Daphnia pulex: one gene and its partners. The protein of the gene in region 1 binds, or shares a complex with, the protein of each later gene. Links are inferred from orthologs where the notes say so. Each region holds a gene or a part of one and is shown in the gene's direction. Other genes may lie near its edges. The genes, in order: GATOR complex protein Iml1-like, protein SEC13 homolog and nucleoporin SEH1-like.

Evidence for each region.
Region 2: GATOR complex protein Iml1-like (region 1) and protein SEC13 homolog share a complex: the UniProt entries of both Drosophila melanogaster proteins name them as parts of the GATOR complex. The link is inferred for Daphnia pulex from reciprocal best matches to the Drosophila melanogaster genes Iml1 and Sec13.
Region 3: GATOR complex protein Iml1-like (region 1) and nucleoporin SEH1-like share a complex: the UniProt entries of both Drosophila melanogaster proteins name them as parts of the GATOR complex. The link is inferred for Daphnia pulex from reciprocal best matches to the Drosophila melanogaster genes Iml1 and Nup44A.

The regions. Positions count from the first base shown.
Region 1 is NC_060021.1:10,273,599-10,277,353, forward strand, and holds the start of GATOR complex protein Iml1-like, read left to right. Parts: upstream 1-1,018; 5' UTR 1,019-1,140; coding exon 1,141-1,183; intron 1,184-1,256; coding exon 1,257-1,394; intron 1,395-1,484; coding exon 1,485-1,717; intron 1,718-1,785; coding exon 1,786-2,010; intron 2,011-2,072; coding exon 2,073-2,327; intron 2,328-2,391; coding exon 2,392-2,587; intron 2,588-2,671; coding exon 2,672-2,905; intron 2,906-2,980; coding exon 2,981-3,102; intron 3,103-3,164; coding exon 3,165-3,306; intron 3,307-3,376; coding exon 3,377-3,755. Other genes in the region: uncharacterized protein LOC124194533, read left to right, coding at 1-172, 310-701. UniProt on the Drosophila melanogaster protein: An essential component of the GATOR subcomplex GATOR1 which functions as an inhibitor of the amino acid-sensing branch of the TORC1 signaling pathway.
Region 2 is NC_060026.1:1,756,567-1,759,792, reverse strand, and holds protein SEC13 homolog, read left to right. Parts: upstream 1-1,043; 5' UTR 1,044-1,195; coding exon 1,196-1,198; intron 1,199-1,268; coding exon 1,269-1,313; intron 1,314-1,388; coding exon 1,389-1,517; intron 1,518-1,593; coding exon 1,594-1,866; intron 1,867-1,929; coding exon 1,930-2,063; intron 2,064-2,131; coding exon 2,132-2,483; 3' UTR 2,484-2,571; downstream 2,572-3,226. Other genes in the region: uncharacterized protein LOC124206188, read left to right, coding at 1-528; tRNA (cytosine(38)-C(5))-methyltransferase-like, read right to left, coding at 2,594-2,747, 2,828-3,150, 3,221-3,226. UniProt on the Drosophila melanogaster protein: Functions as a component of the nuclear pore complex (NPC) and the COPII coat. At the endoplasmic reticulum, SEC13 is involved in the biogenesis of COPII-coated vesicles.
Region 3 is NC_060020.1:7,749,582-7,753,247, forward strand, and holds nucleoporin SEH1-like, read left to right. Parts: upstream 1-1,283; 5' UTR 1,284-1,458; coding exon 1,459-1,569; intron 1,570-1,632; coding exon 1,633-1,789; intron 1,790-1,847; coding exon 1,848-1,999; intron 2,000-2,074; coding exon 2,075-2,421; intron 2,422-2,483; coding exon 2,484-2,644; intron 2,645-2,717; coding exon 2,718-2,881; 3' UTR 2,882-3,025; downstream 3,026-3,666. Other genes in the region: meckelin-like, read right to left, coding at 1-204, 266-457, 513-778, 858-1,170. UniProt on the Drosophila melanogaster protein: Probable component of the nuclear pore complex (NPC). Involved in maintaining the localization of another nucleoporin Mgtor to the nuclear envelope of early meiotic female germline cells.

The DNA.
Region 1 (3,755 bases):
ACCATAGCATTCCTCCTTGAAAGTCAGTCCTTTGTCGAAAAAACCCTCTACCCAAGTAAAATGCGATCACGTCCGATTTCCACGCCTATTCGCGACACATCATTATCGCTTCCAATAGAGGTTGAAAGTACGAATCATAACGGATCCGTTCTCAAACAGTTGCTACTAACAAGTAATTATTTAAAACTTTTGCCTTTATTTTGTGTTGATTTTAGTAATATTATGATATTAATTTAAAAAATTTTCCCGTTCTCCATGATTCGCCCATGAATTTTTTGAAATTATTAATATTTTTAATTATTTGATAAGGCAATGAAGACGTCATCAGATCATCCAAAAAAACTGTATCGAAGCAAAGTTCAATAATGAGCCGAACACCCTCATCGGTACAACAATCATCACCCGTTCAGCTAACGAACAAACGCAAACAAACAACAGAACCTCGTCGGCTTGCCGAATCCAACGTCCACGTTGCACGCCCGACAACCCCGAAGTGCGTGCGAGATTCAGATTACTGGAGCCCTCCTGTCCTCACACCTCCACCTGATGGAAGAGCCTATTCACCTCCGTCAACTCCAGTGGCACACATTGAACCTTATGTTGAGCCTCAAGTGATGTACAATCCTTACTTCTTATGGCAACTTTATTCCTATAAGCAATCTTGCAGTAACAGTTTCAAATCATTCTCTCACAATTATTGATTCAGGATAGTTGTTGTCATGGCTAACGATTTATTTGTTAACAGGCGTGTTTAAAGAACAAGTAACTTATTGCTGGTAAATTATGTTGCTGTAATAATATTTGATTGAATTTACAATTTAACCATACACACATAGATTTAGCCGTCAGTTGTTGTGTTTTATTTTCTAACATTATTTACCATATTTTCTACAGCTTCTTTTTTAGTTCAGAGTTAATTCTTAATTCATATTCCTGAAAATTACCGCTTTCAAATTTCGTTTTTGACGTAGCTACAATTTTTGTCGCTAGATGACCTTAACGATTGTTGATCAACAGATCAGCAGACGGCTGAACAGGGCAATCACGGCAACATCAGCTGCATATATTTGCGCTGCAGTAGTCTAGTCTTTCATCTCGTGACGATAGAAGAGGCTCGAATATCCTGTCAAGAGCTTCAAAATGAAAACTTTTAAACTGATTGCTCATCAGAAACATTTTAGTGGTGAGATATTTGTATGTCTTTATTCTGCGAATGATGATGCTTAGCCTACTTATATTCTCGTGATGTTTTGTAGAGGAAGAAATAATTTTGAGCTCAAAAGATTTCCCACACGTGAAAGTGAGAGATGTAGTAGAAATATACCACCCTGATGTTGTTGGCTCCAGAGTTCTACTTCAAGTACATTCTTTAAAAGAAGAAATGCAAACAAAAGGTAGGCCTATTATGTTTGTGATTTTTAATGAATACTATGTTTGAATGCTACTGGTTCATCTCTTAATTATAAAAATGTGTTAACATTTAGACACAATCAGCATTGAACAGTCAATAGTAAGTATGTTCCAACTTCAAATATTTTTTGGAGTCCATGTGACTGTGATGGATCCAGCCTCAGCTGCTCTAGATTCTGTAGAGTTAACCTTCAAGGATCAGTATCTAGGACGTAGTGACATGTGGAGGTTGAAAAATTGCCTTATTGGCTCTTGTTTGTACATTGGGAAGAAATTGGAGTTTTGCAACAAGTCAGTTCGATGTCAGGTGAGGAAGTGTAATCAGTAATGAGTATTAAATTTGTTTATTTGTAAATTGTTTGTTTTTCAAATAAGGTTCATGAAATGTGGGGACAAGGAGAAAGAGTGGCATGTGGTGTGATTACAGAGGATACAAAAATTGTATTTCGTTCATCAACAAGTCAGGTGTATCTCTTCTTACAAATGAGCTCAGAAATGTGGGATTTTGACATATACGGTGATCTGTATTTTGAAAAAGCTGTTAACGGCTTCTTATCGGAATTATTCGCCAAGTGGAAACGCCATGGATCTAATCATGAGGTGGCATCGGTTATGATAAATCTTTAGCATTAAATTCATTAAACCTCTAATCTCATTTCCAGGTCACAATTGTTTTATTTTCTCGAATATTTTACGAGACAGAATCTTTGGAATACTTCCCAGAAACTGTGCGAGCGTGCTTGCAGCAAGATTACCGTGGTATGTTCTATGAAGACTTTTACCGTGTAGCTGTTCAAAGCGAACGAATGGAAGACTGGGCGTGTGTGCTGCCGCAACTCAAATTACTCTTTCATAACTGGCAGAACTCTGTGTTGGGTTACCATCAACAAAACCACCCTGACATGAACATACCTAAAGTATTTTTCTTCATTATTTGTGAATCATGACAAGAGTTCTAACATTTTCCTTGTTTGTAAATAGGGTGTTAATTCATGTGCAGCCCAAGGAAACTTTCTCGAGGTGCTTAACATGTCTCTAAATGTTTTTGAGAAGCACTACTTGGATAGAAGCTTTGACCGCACTGGCCAGCTTTCCGTAGTCATCACACCTGGAGTTGGCGTCTTTGAAGTAGATCGAGAGTTGACAAACATTACGAAGCAAAGGATCATAGACAACGGTAAAAAATTTCAACTGTTTTTATTTTTTTTACTAAATACTTTCTTATCGAGCATGGTTTCAATTAAATATGTGTTACAAACAGGTGTGGGGAGTGATCTGGTTTGTGTTGGTGAACAGCCTTTACATGCAGTTCCCTTATTGCAATTTCACAATAAAAGACATAGCGCTGCCTCAAATGACTTTAGTATGCCTCATTGGATCAATCTCAGCTTCTATTCTTCCAGCAAGCGGATTGGTTATTCTACATTTCTTCCCCGCATTAAGATGGCTCCCATTTTAAATAAAGAGACAACTCTTCACAAGAGCAAAACTGCAGGTACAGTAATTCAAACACTATTATTGAATAAGAGTCGAAATTTTACTTTAATAAAACTTTATCGTTTGTATTTAGGATTACTCTCGTCTAAAACTAGCAGTTCCATTAAAGTTGAAAGTAGTTTACCGAACTCTGTCTTTGACTATGATGCCTATGACGCAAAAGTGTTTGCGCTTCCAGTAACCCGCACTAGCAAGGTATTTGAATACGTTATGTCTCTTGGGAAAATAATCGGATACAAATGTTCTGTTATGTGCAGGTTCAAACTTTGATGCGAGAAACTCGTCATCGCAAAACCACCGCTATATCCTCAGAGGTGAATCGGTTTGATCGGAGCCGAGGAAACGCTAGAAGATCTCGTCTTCATGATATGGACATTTCTTTTACCACGGGTCACCCTGGTATATGAAATTTTTCTAATTTCCATGTTAAATTCTGTAAAAACATAGGTGCAAATTTTTTATTTAATAGGTGATGGACTCAGCAGCTCATTGATCAGTGCGCCCACTATGCTCAGCTGTTCACTCACAAAATCACCCTCAGTTACCATTCCAAAAAGACCAGCTGTCGACGACAGTTTTATTGCGTCATGTGGTGCAACTGCACCTCATCCACGTGTTCGAAGACCTAGTGGGGGTGAGGAGCGATTAGAAGATCGCAGGTCCAACACTCTTAGAGCTGTAGTAGGCAGCGCTGGATCACCAAGCGCTCTCGGAAGCAACACAGTGACGATAGGCGCCAACCCGTCTACTGTTACTTTCGATCCCAGTACACGTCAAATCAAAACTGGACGTGCTTTAATTAATCCATTCGATCCGAGCAGAGTAACAATTAAGTTAACATCCAATCG
Region 2 (3,226 bases), on another chromosome or scaffold:
GTGTTGGGCCGCCATCCGGAATTTATCAACAAGAAGAACTTTGTTGCTTCCGTCGGTAAGCCGTGCCTGGCTTTTTACCGTGAGCCAGATGATTTCTTCCCTGATGACGGACAATGGTATCGCGCCGTGGTTGAAAGCGTCAATGGAGACACCGCCAGAGTCTACTATTTTGATTACGGTCACACTTGTGAGGTGCAGACCAGTTTGTTGAGAGATTTACCCTCGGATTACGCCAAGCAACCGGCGTTGGCATTCAAGTGTTGCCTGGATGGAGCGGAATCTTTCTCCAAAGTCGCCGCCGATGCTTTTCTTGATCGCTTCGTTAAACGTGCTTTCTTCGCCGTTAAATTCATCAAGGTCGTCGACGGAGCCCTTCACATTCGTCTCTTTACTTTAAATGGGGTGGATCTTTTCGAAAAGCACCGCAAGATATTGACTCCGCCTTCGTCACCGGAAACTTCAGCGAAAGCAGATGAGAACGATTTTTCGACACCTTTTGCATTCCTTGCGACTCCATCACACAAATGAACCAGTTCATTTTCTCCAAAACAATTTCAAAATTCTTCTTACGACGACGGAAAGTCTTAATTCTATAGAGAGAGAGAGAGAACAATTATTTTATGAACTCGGTCAACAAATATTCAGCTTTTCTTTTCAACAGTGTTAACACACCCAGCCTTCTTTTTGCATCTTAATTGTTACAATATTATAGTAAAGATGTTTAATTCCTTTCGGTCTTCACAAACTATTTCCCAACAAAAATTTTTATATTAGGCTGCGGTTGTTTCATTTTCTGTGCAAGAAATATTTATTTTGGTTTCATTACTTTCGTGACTACGTTTCCTTTTTTCACGTTTTTTCCACTGTGACTGCGTTAATTATTTTTGTACTTGTCCTGTTGCACGTCACCCTTGTACTTCTTCCGTTCTGAAATTCTTAATAAATCATATTTGTTCCTTGTATTTATTTGTACGTCATCTTATTGATCTAACCCTTTTTTTGAATGAAAATTTAAATGGAGGTGGCGTGGCGCCAAAACGTTTTCACTAAAATTGGTTGAATTGTTGATGTTTGGCAACGCGCTGGGGACACGTCGACTGAAAATTGACAGATTCGTTTGTGTGAGTTTGTCGGTATTTTTTTTACGCAGGAATATTTTATAACTCGCTGTCTTATCTACAAGTTCTCAGTAAAAATGGTACTTTGTCATAATTTGGATGCATTTTTAAAGGCACTTGTAAAATTATCATTAAATTATTCCCTCTTAGGTGTCAGTCATTTCCACAGTCGATACTGGACATGAAGACATGATCGTGAGTATCTAATCATTCTGATGTTGATTTTGTAATTTCTTACATGATATTAACGTTTTTTTGGGGATTTATTAGCATGATGCGCAAATGGACTATTATGGCTGTCGGCTTGCAACCTGCTCATCTGACAGGTCTGTGAGGATTTACGATGTGAAAAATGGAACACAAACATTGGCTGCCGATTTGAGAGGACACGAAGGACCGGTATGTTAATTTTGAATGATCTGTTAATATCATACAACAAATGGTGGTTATACTGACAATTTCATACATTTATCAGGTTTGGCAAATTGCTTGGGCTCATCCCAAGTTTGGGAATATTTTAGCATCATGTTCTTATGATCACAAAGTTATTATCTGGAAAGAGATGAATGGACAATGGGTCAAGTTTTATGAATATGCTAACCATGATTCATCTGTGAACTCTGTTTGCTGGGCCCCTCATGACTATGGCCTTATCCTCGCTTGTGGAAGTTCTGATGGATCCATCTCCATTCTCTCTGCTACAGCTGCAGGAGGTTGGGAGGCCAAGAAGATCAACAATGCCCATACAGTATACATTTCACCATCTTTATTAAGTCTTAAATATTTCCTAATGCATGTGATGCTATTGTAGATTGGGTGCAATGCAGTTAGTTGGGCTCCAGCTATTGGACCTAACGCGGCCTTTGACTCAACTACCGGTTCACGATCTGCTCCTGTCAAGCGTTTTGTTAGTGGGGGTTGTGATAACCTAGTCAAAGTCTGGCGGTAAGTTACATAATTCATTTAAAAAGTAAATCTCCTTTATCAATCGAGGCCTTTTTTCGAATTTGCAGGGAAGATAAAGAATGGGTTGAGGAAGCTAAACTAGAAGGCCATTCGGATTGGGTTCGTGATGCAGCTTGGGCTCCGTCCATTGGGCTTTCGCGTACGGTCATCGCCAGCTGTTCTCAAGATCGTCGAGTGATTCTATGGACCAACGACGGTGTTTCCAGCAGTTGGAACCAACGAGTTCTTCACACCTTCGAAGATGTTGTTTGGCACGTCTCATGGTCCGTGACCGGAAACATCTTGGCGGTCTCTGGTGGGGACAACAAAGTTAGTCTCTGGAAGGAAACAGTGGAAGGCCAATGGGTATGCATCAGTGACGTGAATCGAGGCAAGGGATCGACGCCTGGCCAACAGTGAAAATACCCGTCTGTTTGTTAATCTCCACTCTAACGCTAGCCATGTTTCCCTTGATTTGGTTTACTATATAAATTACCGCAAAGAAACATTTAAACGTTTAATTATTTATTTCAACCCAATAATATTCTTAAAAGATTAGAAACTACCAACACGTTCAAACTGTTCCCTAAGAGTCGATACCGAGTTTTAAGTGAAGTGTTTTCAGGAAAGGTAAATTCAGCAGGGAAGCCCATTAAATTTCCGACTTCTCGCGGTGTGAAATATCTAAGAACAGAAAATGTTACAACAAATAATACGTTGGGTTAGTTATGAGGCAATTTCAGTTATTAGGTTTTCAATCTTACCTTAATTTTAAAGGTTTCAAATGAGCAATATCTTCATCTTCTTTAAATTCAGCGAATTTTTGGTGAAATGGCTCGTTCGGGTCGTGTTGAAGTACAGAACCAGTTCCTTCTGCATAGTGGGTATACGCTTTGGTGAAACAACAGGAAGATGTGTCGGATGTTCGTCGTACATCGAGAATACGCCAATACTTTAATAATGTTTTATCAGTAAGCAAATAACGTGCCAATTCTTCATCAGACATATCTTTCTCCAGATAGGGGTCTAACGTTTTTTCTTGCACCGGCATTTCAATGTCACAGCTACTGTTAGGAAAGGAGGTCATCTGTCAAAAAAATAATCAAATAAGATGATGAATAAATCATTAATAAAAATTGAATTTGAATGGTGCTTACAATGTC
Region 3 (3,666 bases), on another chromosome or scaffold:
ATCAACGAAATAAATTTCATAAAAGCGCATATCAGCCATGTTGAAAACTTTCGAATAAACCGAACAGCTGTGATAAATATTGGCATTTCGTTGGATTGGTTTCCAAGTTCCAGTGCAGCACAATGATTTAAAAACCGATTGAAGAGGCTGGATCAATAAATATGTACCATCTAATGCGTATTGTTTAACCATAAAATCCATTTTCTAAAAAAAGTCATTAATGAAAAACTTTTCCTGTTTAGTCCGTAAAAGTTATAGATGCTACTTGATCTTTCAGTATGTTTATCCTGGCGGAGTTTAGTAGATATTCGTTTTGACTATCGTCGTAGTATATTGAATTGCTAAAGCCTCCAGATAATTGTCGATAAAGAGAGCAAGCTGACTGAGAATCGTAGTTGTAATCCGTTAAGACACAGAGATTGATCAGATGTTCGCAGTATTTTCCTCCACCGTGTGCCTTTAAAGAAAAAAAATTGGTGTTTAATAGCACAAACATGGTAAATAATTCCTACCTTGCATTTAATTGCCGTCAATCTAACCCAATTCCGCAAATAATTAGAAATGTAAGGTCTCCCGTGTAAGTTATATGTAAAGATAGTGGGTGTTTCGGGAATCGTGAATAAATCTTTGACGCAAGTTCCGTTCACATCTTCGTATTCACTAGGACAATGACACATGTTCGAACAAGGAACGCACGAAGATTTTGTGTCATCAGGCTGATGCCAAAGCGGGCATTTCAGACATCGTGCGGAGGTAATATTTCCAGTAATTTGAAGGACTGTGATAAAAATTCAGAAATTAATTCTTCTTTACTATACTTAGCAGATAGGACCTAGGTAAATGTGCGTTTTTCATACCTTTGATGTCGTACGGTTCACACGTGAGATTGCTTTTTAGACACATTTCTGACTGAATTGATTGGTTACAGCGTAAGCATTCAATTGCTTTGGACTTTTCATTAAATTCAGGGTAGTAGCCAAAGCCACACTCACAACTCAAACGGTCATCGGAAGATATTTGAAAGACCCCGCAACCTTTGCACTTATGTGATATCGAATCAAAGTAGGAGGAACGATTGCAGCTTTCAGGAAACGAAGACAATATGACATCGTAAGCCTCCACCTTCTTTAAGATGAAAAAAAGCAGGTAATGAGCAACTAACACGATCATCGTCACTTTAAATTTTTGTTTGTTTTGTAAAGCATATTTGTTACCTAGCAACCACTCCCCAGCAATGAGCCAAGTCAGCCAACCAACAATATCAGAAAAAACATCGTTTCTTTCATGAATCAATCTGGCAACGCCCACAACTGTCCCATACTGCCATAGTGCCATACATTTGAAGTTTGATCAGTCGAGCTGTCGGCTGCTTGCGTTCTTGCTTTCTTAATTCTGTGAAATTTGCAAGCAAAAACTTGTTTCTCGTGATTAAGAAGTGATTTAAAAAGTTCTGTAAACATGTTTCAAGCAAGAACGATAAATGCTGAACACAAAGACCTGATTCATGATGTAGCTTATGATTTTTATGGGCGTCGATTGGCTACTTGTTCCTCCGACCAGAGTGTTAAAGTAAATTGTTAGAAATCGAAAAAAATTTCTTGTGTTAACTAAATTGCGGAATTATCTTTCAAGGTTTTTGACCTGGATGAAAATGATGAATGGAGATTGACTGCTGATTGGAAGACTCATGCTGGTTCTGTTTGGAAAGTAAATTGGGCTCATCCTGAATTTGGTCAAATTTTAGCCACTTGCTCATTTGACAGAACAGCTGCAATTTGGGAAGAAATTGGTTTGTAAAATTCTTTACAATTTTAACAACTTAAATTAGTTACTAAATGCATATCCAGTTGGTGAATCAGGGAATTCAACGCAGAGTAAAAACCAAAGTCATTGGGTGAAAAGGACAAGTTTGGTAGATTCAAGAACCAATGTGACTGACATCAAATTTGCTCCAAAACACATGGGACTATTGTTAGCTATGTGTTCAGCTGATGGAGGAGTAAGTTCTAAGATATATTTATTACATTGTTAAATATATAAACCAGATGAAAATGTCAATTTTATAACATAATAGGTTAGAATATATGAAGCCCCAGACATTATGAACCTAAGTCAATGGAGTTTGCAGCAAGAAATAACACTGAAAATGCCTGTGTCTTGTCTATCATGGAATCCGTCATTTTCTCGTCTCCATCCTCCAATGTTGGCAGTTGGTAGTGATGACACGAATGTCGCCTCTGGTGGAAAAGTGTTTCTGTTTGAGTACAGTGAAAGCTCCCATCGCTGGTCTAAAGCTGAAACTATCAACACAATAGTCGACCCAGTGCATGACATAGCATTTGCACCTAACTTGGGAAGAAGTTACCACATTCTAGGAATTGCAAGCAAAGATGTTAGAATAGTTATTCTTAAACCACCTCAGTAAGTAGTTAAAATATTTTAAGGATGGAATAAGAATAAATTTATAATTTTTTTTATTAAAGGAAAGATGCTTATGCAGCAGCTTGTCCAACTTCCCAGTTGGAGATACTGCAGGCAGCCCAATTTGATGACCATCATTCTACTGTTTGGAGAATCTCTTGGAACATTACTGGAACTATTCTAGCTTCTTCAGGAGATGACGGCTGTTTAAGAATGTGGAAAGGCAAGAAATCAAGAAATATTTAATGCCATGTCTGGCCTATTAAATCAGCTGTTTTTACTGTCTATTTCCACAGCCAACTATTTGCAGAATTGGAAATGCATTGCCGTGTTGAAAGGTGATGGATCGGGTGTAAGTCCAGAAGACGGAACTGATCGTGATAAAACCGTTTCTGCAGCAACTGCTCGTTACTTTAAACTTGGCGCAATCAGCAATCCAAATCAAGTACCCTGGCACTAACATTTACTTCCCAATTTTTATGATAATAATATGTCTCTTCCAATCCACACAAATAACTGGGAGTTTTCATTTCTGGAGAAACCCATGGTCTCGAAAATGGAAAGTTGTTCTGAAGAAATAAATGAAATGATATGGAGTTTTAAACTATGTCATTTTTTCATGTCACATTCGTTTAGGGTCAAGTTGTTATAAAAACACTTTTCTCTAGTAGAGTAGCTATTTGTTTTTTTGTTAGGAGGGAAATGATTCAAATGATTTGATCATTTTCAGCTGCATTACTGCATACATTTACACATCTCTAAGGACATTTACAACAATAAACTGTAAGGTCATTTTTGTGATTTTTGACAAAAACTGAATATTACAAAACTCACCTGTTAGATTTTTGCAAACGTTTGTTTTTGTCTACCTCCAGTTTAAAAGTCAGTAGTTCCGTAAATATTATCAGTAAGTATTATTTTGACGCAAATAAGAAAAGAACTAAGGATTTGTGATCTTCGTCAAATTTTGGGTCGATTGCATGTGTCTGTAGGAAATATAGGAAAATCATCCTATTCGTGATTTTCCCTAAACTAGTGATAGCCATCACAAAAATTTACGATTTTAGTTTTAAAAAAATCATTTTTAAACATGGGAAATTGAGCTATCAGTTCCTTCCGGTAAATTTGTATAATTCTAGCAAGTGAACTTCATTCTCTTTACAGTTTTTTTTTTTAGATTTGAAGTTAGCAGGTTAATACAAATAGAAATACGCTGTTTAAGTGTTGTAATTATCTAGATGGCTT